Linked DNA regions of Styela clava. The protein of the gene in region 1 interacts with the protein of each later gene in a pairwise test. Links are inferred from orthologs where the notes say so. Each region holds a gene or a part of one and is shown in the gene's direction. Other genes may lie near its edges.

Region 1 (7,075 bases):
TCATTTTTTTAATAAACCCTAAGGCTTTGCTAGTTATCTAAATTCCATAATCAGTTCTTATTCCTTTTCTTTAGATTATTTTCTGTCTGTCTGTTATGCCTGTATGCTGGTTTTAGAATAGGTAACGATACTTATACCCACTTTTCTAAGTTTAAATCTGCAAATGCAGGAATCCCCCTTGATTTGAAGGACTTTTTGTCATAGTTTTTCATAAATCTATATATCCTTATTGTTATAATAGAAGAGCACTGGTATAAAATATGTCCTTTTTATTGCTTCACTGTGGCATAATCATCGATGCACCCAGTGTGTGTTTGAAGGTTTGTTTAAATCCCATGGGGATAATTATGTGTGGGAGGATTGCTGGACTTCTCATCGCCATACAGCCATAGGGAGCTGCTGGTCGATTACGGCTTCTTCCACCATAAAGTTCATGCATCTGAAACAATTAACTAGGTAACTTTTTTCACATGGTACCTGACATGGACTGGTAACCGGACGTAGACCATGGTATGTCATATGATTATACCTTGTTATCGACTTCTCCCCAGTCCCCGGTATAAAATAACGTCTAATCCTATTCTTGTTTGGTGTGTAAATAATTTTTTTTCATTCTCATATTTTTGAATTGTTGATTAGGAGTTGAAACTTATAATGTTTATATGATTTGAAAAAACTTTTTAGTTGAAATTCACCATTGGAAATGTTAATTCGTTAAGACCAAAGCTCAAATTAAGATTGATCGACTGGAATCTGACAATTGGAATTTGGGCAGTTTGCGAGTGTCTATAATACAGTAATATAGTATTTGTTGGTTTATACTACAACTCTGCCACTGATTCACACTGTCATAACAACTCATGTACCATTACTTGCTGACCATAGCCACTATATGGGTACTGAGTGCTTCATTACTGCATTACCCATATCAATTATTACTGTATTACAGTACCATATAGCCCAGGGATGGCTTTGATTAAATATGTATGATCCACATTCTTCTTTACCACAATAAAAATGTAATTTTTGACCCATTTATTAAAAAAGGTTCGCCATCCCTGATATAGTCCATTATGACACTCTTACTGTTGAATCAATTCATGACATTTGAAGATGATGAAACAAATATACAAATAACATCTGAATTAAACATTTGTCCACTTATAGTGGGTGGAAGAGTCAACTCGTTTAAAGTTGCTTATTGTTCAATAGTTCATAAAAATGAATATATTATTGTAGTAACAATTATAGTGTTTGAGATATTGGGTCACCTAAAAATTGTACACTCAAATTCCATAATTAATGCTTTGTACCGCAACTTCGAACACTCTCATGAATACTGAGAATTGGGATACATTACTGTATTTATTTGAAATTGAATTGCGCTTTGCGTTTGATTTGATTTATATTTAACAATGGAATTTATGAGAGGCGTTTTTGTATGCCTGCAGGCTGCAGCTGATATGGTTGCTAAAAGGAAAGAAATACCAATTTAATATAATATTAGTACGGTATCATATAGCCTACATACATTGTCTCATCTTTACTAGCTGAGTAGCGTGTTCTTCACTTTTAAATCACTGAGATCAAATTTTAAAACTATATATAAGTTTCAATGTAATTCATACTGAAAACTCATATCTTCAGTCTGTTATTGGATGATTAAAATTTGATTATGGAAGTTGTTATAGCGGACAGCGAGTACCAGTCTTCCTCACTGGAAAGGATAAATAATTTGAGAGAATATGGGCTTTATTGTGATTTTGTTATAGTAGTTGAAGAGGAGAAGCTTCCTGTACACAAAAATGTTATTGCTGCAAATTCTGATTACTTTCGGGCAATGCTCAGCCATGACACAAAAGAAAGCATGGAAGGAACAGTTGAAATCCAAGATGTTCAAATCAAAGCTGTTAGAATATGCATTGCTTACATCTACACTGGTATCGCATCATTTGAAAACGATGATATATTAGAAGTCTACCACACTGCTGATGTTTTCCAACTTCATAGACTTGTGACTAACATATTGAAACATCTTACTGAACAAATGAGCAGAGAGAATGTTTTCATTTCGAAGCAATTGGCCAGAAAATATGATTTCAAGGATTTGGATGAAAAATGTGACAAGTATGCTATTGATCACTTTGTTGCGATCATGAAAACTACTGCATTCCTGCAACTTGAATCAGAGTATTTGATTTATTTGGTTTCATCACAGAAAAATAAGGATACTCGTGAAGAACAAGTTTGTGATGCAATCATAAAGTGGGTTGAATATGACATCAAGCCTAGAAAAGAGCTGTTTCCAGAACTACTACAGCTTGTTGATCTGAATCTCATGGGTTTGCCTTATAGAAGACATCTTGTTGAAAATGAAGTTCTCATCAATTCGAGCTCAGAAAGTCTAACTAAAACAGCTTTGTCTGTGTTCAAATCTCATCTCAAAGTCTCTTCTTTGAGCTGTGATCAGACAGTTGCTCCATCCTATCAAAACAAAGTTGTGGTTCTTGATGGATCTCCAGAATTCATCAGAGAGTATGATGGCCATAGAAAGGTTTGGGAAGAAACAGAGATAGTAAGCAGTGATGCCATCAGTGGTTGTGATAATTATAGTGCTGTTTATGTTGATCCGTATATATTCATCTTGTCGGATGATAAGTCAGTATATCGACTCAAATATACGAAGGATCCAAATGCTATGTGGATAAAGGTGTCAAGTATGCTTAAAGATCATGGTGCAAGACCACCTGCTATTGCACATGATGGTGCAATTTATGTTATAGGATTGGGAAATGAATCACCAGGGAAAACTACAGCATCAGGTGAGAAGTACTCTGTCCCAGAGGATCGTTGGACACCTCTACCTGATATGTCTGAAGAAAAAGACATGAATGCCTTGGCTGCTGTTGGTCATAGCATATACAGCTGTGGTGGTCTGTTAAGAAAAACACCTTTAAACACTGTTGAGAAATTGAATCTGAAGACAATGCATTGGCAAGGAGTTGCATCAATGAAGACTCCTAGATATGGTGCTGCTGCGGTGACTTATAATGACAAGATTTATGTTATTGGAGGTGAAAATACAACTGTTCTATCATATGCTGAATTCTATGATACCATCACTGGTGTATGGACCGACATCTTGCAAATGACAATGCCTAGAAACTATTGTCATGGATTCGTACACGACAACAAAATATATGCTGTTTCTGGAATATGGGGGACCAATTTTTTTGGAGAACCAGTGGAAGCTTATGACATAGAGAAAAATACTTGGGAAAGACAAACACGTTTCCTGGCACCAGTGAGAGAGATAACTTGGGTTCTTTCAATGTGATCGACATATTCTGTTATAGCTGCTGTGAAAGAATATTGAATATACTATTCAATTTTAAATCACGGAGGAAGTTACTACAATATTGTTTCTAAATTATGAGTATTCAAACTTCGATTCATGACATGTTTAAAAAAGCTTTGTAAATATGTTAGCTATACATAATTTAGAATTGTATATTTCAAATCAAATAATTTAGTGGGATTTATGTTTGCCATATGTTTACACAACGTACCGTAGTTCCTCGTTTTGTTGAAGTTTAGTCACTGCCAATTACAAACACCGCTTTTTTGTTTTGTCTCACATTTTGTTCCTTTTCAATCATCCGTTTGCTCCAGGCTGCTTGTCATTAATACATAAGTTGTATTCTGTTTTGAATGTCTTTCAAGTTGACCTAATTTGCATTGATGAAAAATATTTTGACCAAAGAGCGAGGGACATATTCCGCTCAGTGATTTATACACCATTTGCCTTTATTTGTTATAAAAAAATCAAATTGGGATATTTACATTGCAATAATGATTGATATTATCTATAAAAGTGCTGTATAAAAAAGTTTTCTGTCTGGCATGTATGCCAGATTCAGGATTTCAATAAATTATTCAGAACTTAAAATGTCTCTTGGGCCTATGCTGCTTTTTTGTTTTGTTATGATGCATGACATAGTTAAGTGTAAAATCCTGTAATTTTTTGTGTAGATACAGCTAACTTATAGTTATATAAATATTACTGTCTGCTGGTACATAAACTCAAGATTTTGTAGGATTAATAGTTAGGACACTGTACTGATTGAGCTTGCATAAGTCATCTTCATTTTCTTCGTATGGCCTCATCTGATTCAGTAATATATGGACATAAAAATCACCAGGTATTCTTATATTTTCTGATTTTTTTTATAAACATATAAATAAACAATAATTGTTTATCAATTGAAATATTGGAAATTCAATATTCTCACACTAATGTTTTTTAAAACAAACATACCATAATAGAAGATTGATATTATTATGAAATCATGATTTTATAAAAATTTTCATTCACCATGATGAGATATACCATCAATAATTGACTCTGTTCAATGTGCACAAAGTACTATTTTTTGGATATATCCCAATTACAAATCAATTTTATTATAGCCATATAGTTTAACATTATATCTAGTAGAATTTTCCTTTTTTTGCAAAATGAAACCAGTGGCACAGTTAGTAATGACATCTTTTCTATTTTGTTCTCGAAAGTGCACCAAAATCAAACCACTCCTTTCTCCTGTCATATAATTTATCTTATATACAGAAAGTGGTTTTGGTTTTCTTCATTAAATGAATTTGTTGAAGCAATCTTCGCTGTATTGTGTGTGTATATGGCTGTGCTGAGAAAATAGCAACTCATAACATGTTTCGATTTATTTTCAGTTGAATGTCCACAGACTGGTGAGAGTAAAAGTCTTATCTGGTCATAATCTTGCTAAGAAGGATATATTTGGTGCCAGGTACTAATTTCTCCTATTATGCATATCTGTTTCTTCATTATGTCTACTGCAAATTACTATTTTTTATTATTATGGTAGAGATTTTGACATATTTTAAGGATCTGAGCTTTGTTCTAAGAAAGGTGTCAAGTACTTTTTGCTTAAAATCTTGTGTGTAATAAATGGCTCTTGAGATGAGCGTTCTGCTAATCAGACAAGAGTAGATCGTTAGTGAGTGATTGAAGTAGATTGGCCAAAGAGGGTTTAAGAAATATACATTATTACATTAGTCATACAAATATTATGCGAAATCAATCATTGATTTTAATAATTTTAGTGATCCATACGTGAAGGTATCTCTCTATCGACCAAAGCGAATATCACTCGGGCAATCCTATGAAAGCTATGGAACTGCAACAACCAAAACAAAGAAAAAAGTACGAAATTTCCTCTGATTTATATGATTCCTAGTATTTGATAGATGTTTCCACATCACTTTACAATAGTCATAACGCAATGTTTAACTGGGGTCAGTAAAGTCATGAAATATGAATTCATTTTAGGTTTCTTTCCCCGCAGATCAGGATCAATGACTGTTTACATAAAACTATGTAGACTATGTATATTATGTTTTAAAATGTCATTTACTTTAACATTACTACTGGTTTAAAATCTTGTTTATCATGGATTAGAGTTAGCTGTTTTCTGAATTTTGATTTTCTGAATTTTGCGTAAGAATTACTATTATGGAATATGAAATAACATTCAAACTAGTCAAATATTTTAATATTGGCGAAAGAAAGATCTACGGTAACAATTGTAATTTTGATAATACCCAGTTTCATAATATGATTCAATGTGTTTTTCAACTAAAATTAGGATTGTAACGGTGAAATTGCTTGGATTTAAAAGTCGACAAAACAAACTTTTCTAATAGGCACTCATCACTTCCTTACTTAATCTTGAGATTTGATTCACTTTCACGTTATTCTATTTACCGGTACACACTTTAATGTTCAATATAATTCGGTTTTCTGAATAAAAATAATAGATCACAGCCAATTATGCTACTTCAATTTCCCTCTATTATGTATGTCTCAGAATAATATTATGTAGCAAAGTTGATAACCATTTCATTTTATTTTCCGATATTTTTAGACCTTGAATCCAAAATGGGAGGAAGAATTTACTTTTAGAGTAAGTATTATATGGGATGCTCCGATAGCATTCAAGTGATGTATTGATTGTTTGAGATTCTGACTGATTTTGGACAATAATTTCATTTTTAAATGGTAAAACTAAATTATGTGTCCTGTTAATCCACTCTGAGAAGTTTAACTAATAACTTGATTTATTGTTGTGATCATTGCAATTACAACAAACCATCAAAATTTGTTTGAACAGAAGCAAGGTTTTAAGAATCAATTGAAATTAGGCAAATCTTGCTCACATCATGTGATTTTGGTATATTAGAATTGGAACGGTATGTCTTAGAACCTGCTGCCTGAATCTAAGCCATGCCCACTTCTTATAATTCAAATGCTGATAATAAGACTATAAACAAAAATGGAAGTGAGGTAATGATGTCAAAGAATCAGAAACAGAATATTTTTGTGGACCAGTTTCGCACTCTACTTGATATTTTATATCACACATAAGTATATGTAATCCTAATATTGAACTCCTGTAAATTATTGAAAAGCACACATATATACATATTAGCCCACAATCACATGTATTTCTCGTCCTTCATGATATATATCGGTAATGTAACAAAAGCGGAATTATGGCCAGAATTTCATTGGCCTTTTTTTGTAGTTCCGAAAAATTTGAGAGTCTTCTAGAATAAAACTTGTCTAGTGGAACAATAATAACTTATGTAACATACGGTAATAATAATATAGGTTGTGATAAATTCAGTTTAAAATGTAATAGCCAGACTTGTTGAGTATCATTGGCCTGTATGTAGTTTGCCTCTGTTATTCCAATTTCTCTTGTTCTCATATGCTCCCGTCAAATTTTAATTGTTTCTTCCACTTTATCAGGTGGTACCAAAGGAAAACAGACTACTGTTTGAAGTTTTTGATGAAAACAGAGTGGTGAGTTGTATTTCGAATTGACTAAATATTTTGCTATTTGGTGTTTTTTTAGTTTGCGAAAATGATCTCAAATACCAGGAGAGCTTATTTTGAAGTTGTAGGCTACTTTGGTTTCGAGAATGCTATAAATTTTCAAATTTAAATGTTATAGATTCATCTAATATAAACAAAATT
Region 2 (7,005 bases), on another chromosome or scaffold:
AGTGGAGGTGTTCCGTGGCCGAAAAAGTTTGGGAAACGCTGCCCTAGCTTTACTAGGTCCTGTGTAAAGCTGGGCATTTCGAATCGAATAGTCAATTATTCGAATCGGTTCAGAGCAAAATTTTGTTTTTTTTCCTTTCCGTCAATCAATGGTCGAGGTGATTTTCTCATATTTTATCATTTGAAGCCATATTTTTTCAACGCAATCCAGACATGACTATTTTCTGTAGTGAGTTATTGATAAAACGTGTTTCTTATTGTGTGTGAACGCTCAGCAATCTGTCCGAGTGATTTATTCTATTTCTCTCAGTAATTCATTTGTTGACAGGACCAATCACAATAAAAAAATCGCATTCAATTATATATCTCAAAAGTATTCGAAATTCGATTCGAAAAAAATATTCGATTCGATTCTGAAATCATCGGGTATATATATTCAAAAATGCCCAGCCCTAGTCCTGTGGCAATGATGATTCATACGTTTTGTGCCAACGTGAATTTGAAAGCTAAATGATTCGACTCACAACCGTAGTATTCTTTAATTTAGAGTATTCTTTTTTACAGTAACTTACCGTACCTACCTACATTGCGTCACCGGTATAGAATAACTTCCTACTTCCGCGTTGCAAGATTTTGCAAAATAAAAGCGCAAATGAGACTGTACGCGGATTAAAAACGGGGTTCCCATGATTAAAATATAACACAGCGAAATTTTGGATGAAATATTAGATCTCATAGAATTCATAAAAGTAATTGGGACTTCCGGGTACAGTACCGGTAAAATTCCATACTTTAGTTATTGAAATGTGCAATTCATCTCGCTTTGTCATGTGACTTCATGAGGTATGCTTTGTTGATATGTGTAAAAAGTGCAATTCTCTTTTACTGCAATTGCTAGTGTTGTACCCGGTCCTATGGCGCGTCAATGAAACTCATTGTCGGTATTGTTGTATCTTTCGTTTGGCCCAGAAAGTCTTGTTTAATCATTGTTCGACTTTTGTTTTAGGCTGTTTTAAACTTTTTAAATTGAACTTGCTAAGCAAAATTACTGTGTGTTGCAAGTTAATTTTACAGACTCGCAACTCTTGGAAGCTGATCACGTGAGCTCGTGATGCGTATGTATAGTTAAAGAGAAATATGTCAGCCCACGTGATTTTGTTCACTGTACAAATATTGCTCCTTTTGTTTACAGCCTATATTAGAACCCATCTGACAAAGTGTAGCACATGGGTAGAATAAATAGTTTGCGAATGAGACGGGCTGTAATTCTTTTGACTTCAGATTAGTGAAGGTACAAATATCACCCAGAAAACTTTAAAATATTATTTATGACTCGGCATTGGATATCTAAATGGCTTTCGTACTAAAGGGCAGGCTACTCAGCTGACCCCTCTGAAAAATTGATGAAAACTCAAGGAGCAAAATGATTAGTTTTCGAAAGGACGAACAGTTAAAGCGATTGATAATATAGACCTGATGCTGGCACGTCTAACACTCCGAGTGAGATTATCGCCCTTGCGCGTGTGTATGTTGTTTTAAAGAATTCTATGTAGTTTTAGATTCGGCAAGTTTCTTCTACTGTTCCAGTTATTTGAATTGTTTGCTATTCCTAGCCGCAATAACAACGAATCACAAGCAAAGAATTGTATAACAGTAACTCGGATACGCGTGCTTGAGTATTTGATTTGAATGTTTGCTATTCCTAGCCGCAATAACAACGAATCACAAGCAAAGAATTGTATAACGGTAACTCGGATATGCGTACTTGAGTATTCGTAAAATGTATATATATTCAATAATTTCTCTCAAAACTATTCTTCCTACTTGCGTGTAGTAGGTAGGCCCTGTTTGACCTATATATGTGCGTTAATCTTTTTATTAAATTCCAATCCCGATTTTTTTTTGGGCATACTAATGTAATTCAAATAAACGAGGAGCATGATCACTAATTTTCAAGATTAGAAATTAGAGACGGTCGGCTGTCCTCAAATGGTCATTCTTTGTTTGAAACCGGTCATAAGATACTGGGGTTGTAACGATGCGCTCACCTTCGAATGAATGGATAAATGCCTGAGGCAAGTAATATATGTAACACAATGGACAAATTTGTTTTGGTAGTTTGGTTTGGAGGATGGTAAGGATAGGTATAAAACTATCGTTGGGGACAGTGGCGATTAGGCTGGTTAAGAATATATCGCCAATAGTTCAAGAACAGTTCTACTAGACAGCAGGGTGATCAGAATAATCGCGTTTTGTCGACAGGGAATGAATAAACAACGTGTGATAATATGAATGGATAGATATATTTATCCGATAGTCAATTTTAATCAACCATGGGCTGCAATTTTGACAAAATATTTGATTGTTGGGGGAATAACGGGATTGTAAGAAATCGGAACTTTTATGAAATCTAAGCAGGTGATGGATAAATTTTGCGATTCACTCCAAGTGATCCCACGAACAACCATGCCAAACACTTCGCATTGCAAGTCCACGTTTTATCATTATTTTTGTATTTCCGATGTTCGAAACACTTTTACATCAATTCATGGTGAAAAAATTATTCTCAACAATTTTGGAGCTTTATACTAATTGACAAACCCAACGATGAATGTTTTAAAAATTGTGAACTCGTAGTGTGTTTCTTGTGAGTGGTGATCTCGCTGCGAAATGACAAACAAAACCTTTATATACGCACAAAGGTTACGCGTGATCTGTTCAAAATATTGACTTGTTTTAACATGATAGTGAGAATGGGAATCGTGAGATGGATGTTTGTATGAGTTAAATGAGCGTAGAAATTTTACGTAAAGCGTTTCTCGTGGTTACGTGAAAGCTGTATGAGCGAGACGTTGAAGGCAGCGGTGCTTTACGAGTGGTTGTTGAACTGAATGGAAACAATTTGGTTTCCACTTTGATCCGGAGGTAAACTGATTACGTTCAAATGTTTTTCCAGTTATACTTGATAGACTAAACTTTATCGACATAATAAGACGACATCTTCTGTTGTTCCTAGTGACTATATTTAAATGAAACATGATAGGCTGGGATTAATAAGTAGTATTAGATTTCTGTACTCTTTGAACTCTTTTGTGTGCACCATTGTGTGCGGACGTATATACATGCCATTAAAGAATAATAGTCTAGTTTTAGTTGCCATGGCGATATAGTGAGGCTATTATGAATGTGTTCTGTAGTCATTTCAACGATGCTATGTATAATCGATCAGTTGACTTTTATCTGCGTGATACATATTTGCAAAGTTGATAGCATTACGTATAAACTGCTTTATCACTACATGCATAATATCAGCGTAGAACGTTGTTGAAGAGTACGAGAGCAGTCATTTTTTTATTGTGAATAGTTGTGAATGTATATTGGTACATGGTTAACGGTTTTAGGGCAATACAAAATTATCGCTGTGTGATTGAAAGGTATAAATTAATGAAACAGCCAGTTGAAGAATGTTGTGGAATGTACATTGCCAATTTTGATGGGTGCTTTACGTAGGCCTACCATATACGTCTCGGTTTAGCCGGGACAGTCCCGATTTTAGCGGGTTGTCTCAGCCGGTAGACGTAAATGTCCAGTTATGCAGTGAATGTTTTTTCAATTCGATGGTAACACAAATATTTTTTTAACAAAGGCATCCGACGTACCACTGATTTGCAACTCACTTCAGAAGTTCAGATAGAGGAAGAAATTGTTATGTCATGGTTAAGATATATATAATTATGAACCAAAATGTAAATTTAACACCCAACTAATATGTCGCTGAATCATCAAAATGTCGAAAACAAAGTGCAAGTTTTCTAATTAGATGAAGAAAAATTTTCATCATTTGGAGTTTTGGTTTTTTCTATTACAAACTATTACAGAACTAGCTCGGTTTTATATTTCTTGCAATACGAAATAGTATATTAGGAACAAACAATTATTCACTCGCTTTTCTGCGACTGGATCTTCCAGATCTATACAGCGAAGTCTATTTTGAACATAAAAAATGTTTTTGTAATTTAGAAAAAATATTTTTTACCTTAAAATTCCGTGAATAAATTCCAAATATGCCGAGTCTACAAACATTTCGAGTTATTTTCTCTGATCAAAAGACAATCTACAAACCCGGTGATACAATATCGGGGACTGTGGAAGTTTCGCTCAGCGAAGCAATGCAAATGAAAGGTATATAATATACGATATTTTTCCGTTCCATTGAATCTTTTATTTCATTATATAAAATTATAGCTTAACAATAATTTTTTGTTTTGTCTCCATTGGCTGTATATGGCATTGGCAGTGTATGTACATCACCGAAATGGCTGTATTTGTAAATTAAGTTGGCAGTATATGTATAAGACATTGGCTGTGTATGTACATCACCGAAATGGCTGTATTTGTGTATTGAGTTGGAAGTATATGTAGATTTAGTTGGCGCTATATGTATATTTTGGGATGCACATGTATATCACGATTGTTTGGTACATATACCGTGATAGATAGAATTTTTGTTGCAGTGTATAGGAAATTACATAAACGAGGTTCTTAAAATTTATACAGCAGGACGAATACCTTGTCAAATATATAATGTAGTAGGACAAGAGCTCCGAGTTGCAGAAGGACTTTTTGATTATTAATCTGTTAAACTAAATTTGGGTGGTGGCGTATTTTAAATGCTCGAACTTGGTTCCGAGCCAATGAATCGTCGCGACTTCTATATCTGTATATGAAGACCAATACCTCGGCTTCCATCATTGGGTTCAAAAAATGCTTCGACTCGAAAAATTCGACATTGGAAATGTCGAATCAGTAGAGTTTATAAGTACAAACCCGGCTTCAATTTCTATACTTGCAAAACCGACATCCACTGTTTGTGACTGCAAAGGTCACGCCTTACATGATAGCAGACGATCATCAATTATGATTGATTGCCGATATTGCAATTGAGAAATTTTTACAAGCATTCAAGTTGCAGCAAAATAAAACATTAAAACGAAATATTTTCTTCAGAATATTCTTTGTTTTTATTCACCATAGAATTAAAAGTAAAGATCACTGGCAAAGCACATGTTGGATGGCATGAATATTACGGACAAAACAATCATGTTTATCATTACAATAAGCAAGGTCTTTTCAAAGAGAAAACAATTGTGTATGGCGAAGGTACGTTTGTGAAAAATAAAAAACGTTAAGATTTTGTTTTACTTCCTGAAAGCAATTGGTTAGTAATTAAATGGAAAAGTGTTTAATAATTTGAATCTAACACAAATAAGGTATAAACTTTGTTAAAAGCAAGGTCACAGCTCTCAAATATACAGATCTGTGAGCCCTCACAACTATTAAAATCATTCCCGACTATGGGATGAAGAAACAGACCATATTATCAGTATTCAAATTTTCTACACAGGGGGTTCTAGCGCCGATGACGCAACAACTTTAGCACAAGGAAGCCATTCTTTTCCATTTAGCTTTCGTCTCCCATCACCTTTGCCGTCTTCATATGAAGGTAAGTCTAAGAAGAATACTTCGATTGGTTGATAAAAATCATTGATGTCTCTTCTCCATGTTTAAATAAAAATATTTGTGTTGAAAATAACAGACATAGAATAGCCTAGAATCTGGGCCCTAGATGGACATAAGATAGGAGTAAGATTCTACTAAATTTCGGGCTGTGAAAAACACAACATTACTCCATACATCGCAATATGTTTCACGTAGGACATTCAGATTGAGTACGAAAAATGCCAAGTCCTAATATATATAAATATATTATAGAAAATAAGGAAAATACCCAAACGAGCGGAATTTCGCTAATTTGCCCGACAGACCAGACCTCTGGCGATACTTGACTGATTTTAGAACAAGAATTGAAATTGAATTTCATTTATTGATAACTTCGCTAATATATATGACTATATATACAGATAAAATCGGGTACGTACGATACTACGCCAAAGCGAAAATTGTTAGACCGTGGAAATATGATCACAATACAAAAAGTATGTTTACATTGTTGGACATATTAGATCTCAACAAGGAACAGGACATGATGGTGAGAGTCAAAAATAAAATAAAATCCTTATATCTTATATATAGAAGTCAGTTATATATAGAACTATAGAAGTATAGTTCTGACGACAAGGCCATCTTTTTTGACCCTTTTGTGACGTTATGTGATTTCCTATGTGATGAGTATAGTGGGACATTCTTAATTGTTGCGTTGCGGCGCATCTCATCTATTCACCAGCCATTGTACAGCTTGTAGACGCTTTGTTTATTGTCTCTCTTTGAGTTGTATTGGGAAGTTGTGCCGCTGTTGTCAGTGAATTGCGTTCAGTTGTACGCGAGTTTCTATGCTTAGCAGAAAGCACGTACGTAACAAACTCGCTCGCTATTCTTTGATAACTGAATGTGAATACACAGTAATACAAATGAAAAATTGCAGCATTGAATAAGCTACTTCGATTCAAAATGTTAAGTAACCAATACTACAAAACATGTTTTTATATATATTTTATTATCTAATCAAGACTCCTCGGAGTCACTGGCAGTTATTATATTTGGTGTAGTTGGTTCAATTCCGTCTTAGCATTGTTTGATTATTTCATCTTCTTCTTATGAGGAGATTTATATTGACTGTGTAGGATAGGATTTACATATTTATCCCGGGGGAGAGGAAAGTCGATAAGATGGTTTAACCATATGGCGAACCACGGCTTCTCGTCCGGTTACCATTCCATGTTCGGTATGGGATTAGTTATAGTTATTTGTTATTGTAAGCATGGACCTGATGGTGGAGGAAGACGTAACCGAGCAGGGGTTAAGTGAACCACCCTTCGGCGGCAAGGAGTCCGGCAATCCTCTCGCACGTAACTATCCCCGCAAGGGATCCGAACCTGCGAACCCACGCAGAGTAATCAGGGGTGCGGTGGCTAGCGTATTCCTAACGCTTAGTACGATGAGCCACATCGCCGCGTTACCACAGCTATATCGGGCTATCCACCAGGGC

What was found.
Region 2: the proteins of E3 ubiquitin-protein ligase NEDD4-like (region 1) and arrestin domain-containing protein 3-like interact in binary tests that used the Homo sapiens proteins (3 or more experiments, as listed by UniProt). The link is inferred for Styela clava from reciprocal best matches to the Homo sapiens genes NEDD4L and ARRDC3.

The regions. Positions count from the first base shown.
Region 1 is NC_135257.1:7,635,143-7,642,217, reverse strand, and holds the start of E3 ubiquitin-protein ligase NEDD4-like, read left to right. Parts: upstream 1-4,060; 5' UTR 4,061-4,157; coding exon 4,158-4,202; intron 4,203-4,746; coding exon 4,747-4,823; intron 4,824-5,139; coding exon 5,140-5,239; intron 5,240-5,960; coding exon 5,961-5,999; intron 6,000-6,847; coding exon 6,848-6,901; intron 6,902-7,075. Other genes in the region: kelch-like protein 7, read left to right, coding at 1,676-3,337. UniProt on the Homo sapiens protein: E3 ubiquitin-protein ligase that mediates the polyubiquitination of lysine and cysteine residues on target proteins and is thereby implicated in the regulation of various signaling pathways including autophagy, innate immunity or DNA repair.
Region 2 is NC_135255.1:15,214,186-15,221,190, forward strand, and holds the start of arrestin domain-containing protein 3-like, read left to right. Parts: upstream 1-3,991; 5' UTR 3,992-4,063; coding exon 4,064-4,181; intron 4,182-5,033; coding exon 5,034-5,159; intron 5,160-5,403; coding exon 5,404-5,502; intron 5,503-5,920; coding exon 5,921-6,048; intron 6,049-7,005. UniProt on the Homo sapiens protein: Adapter protein that plays a role in regulating cell-surface expression of adrenergic receptors and probably also other G protein-coupled receptors.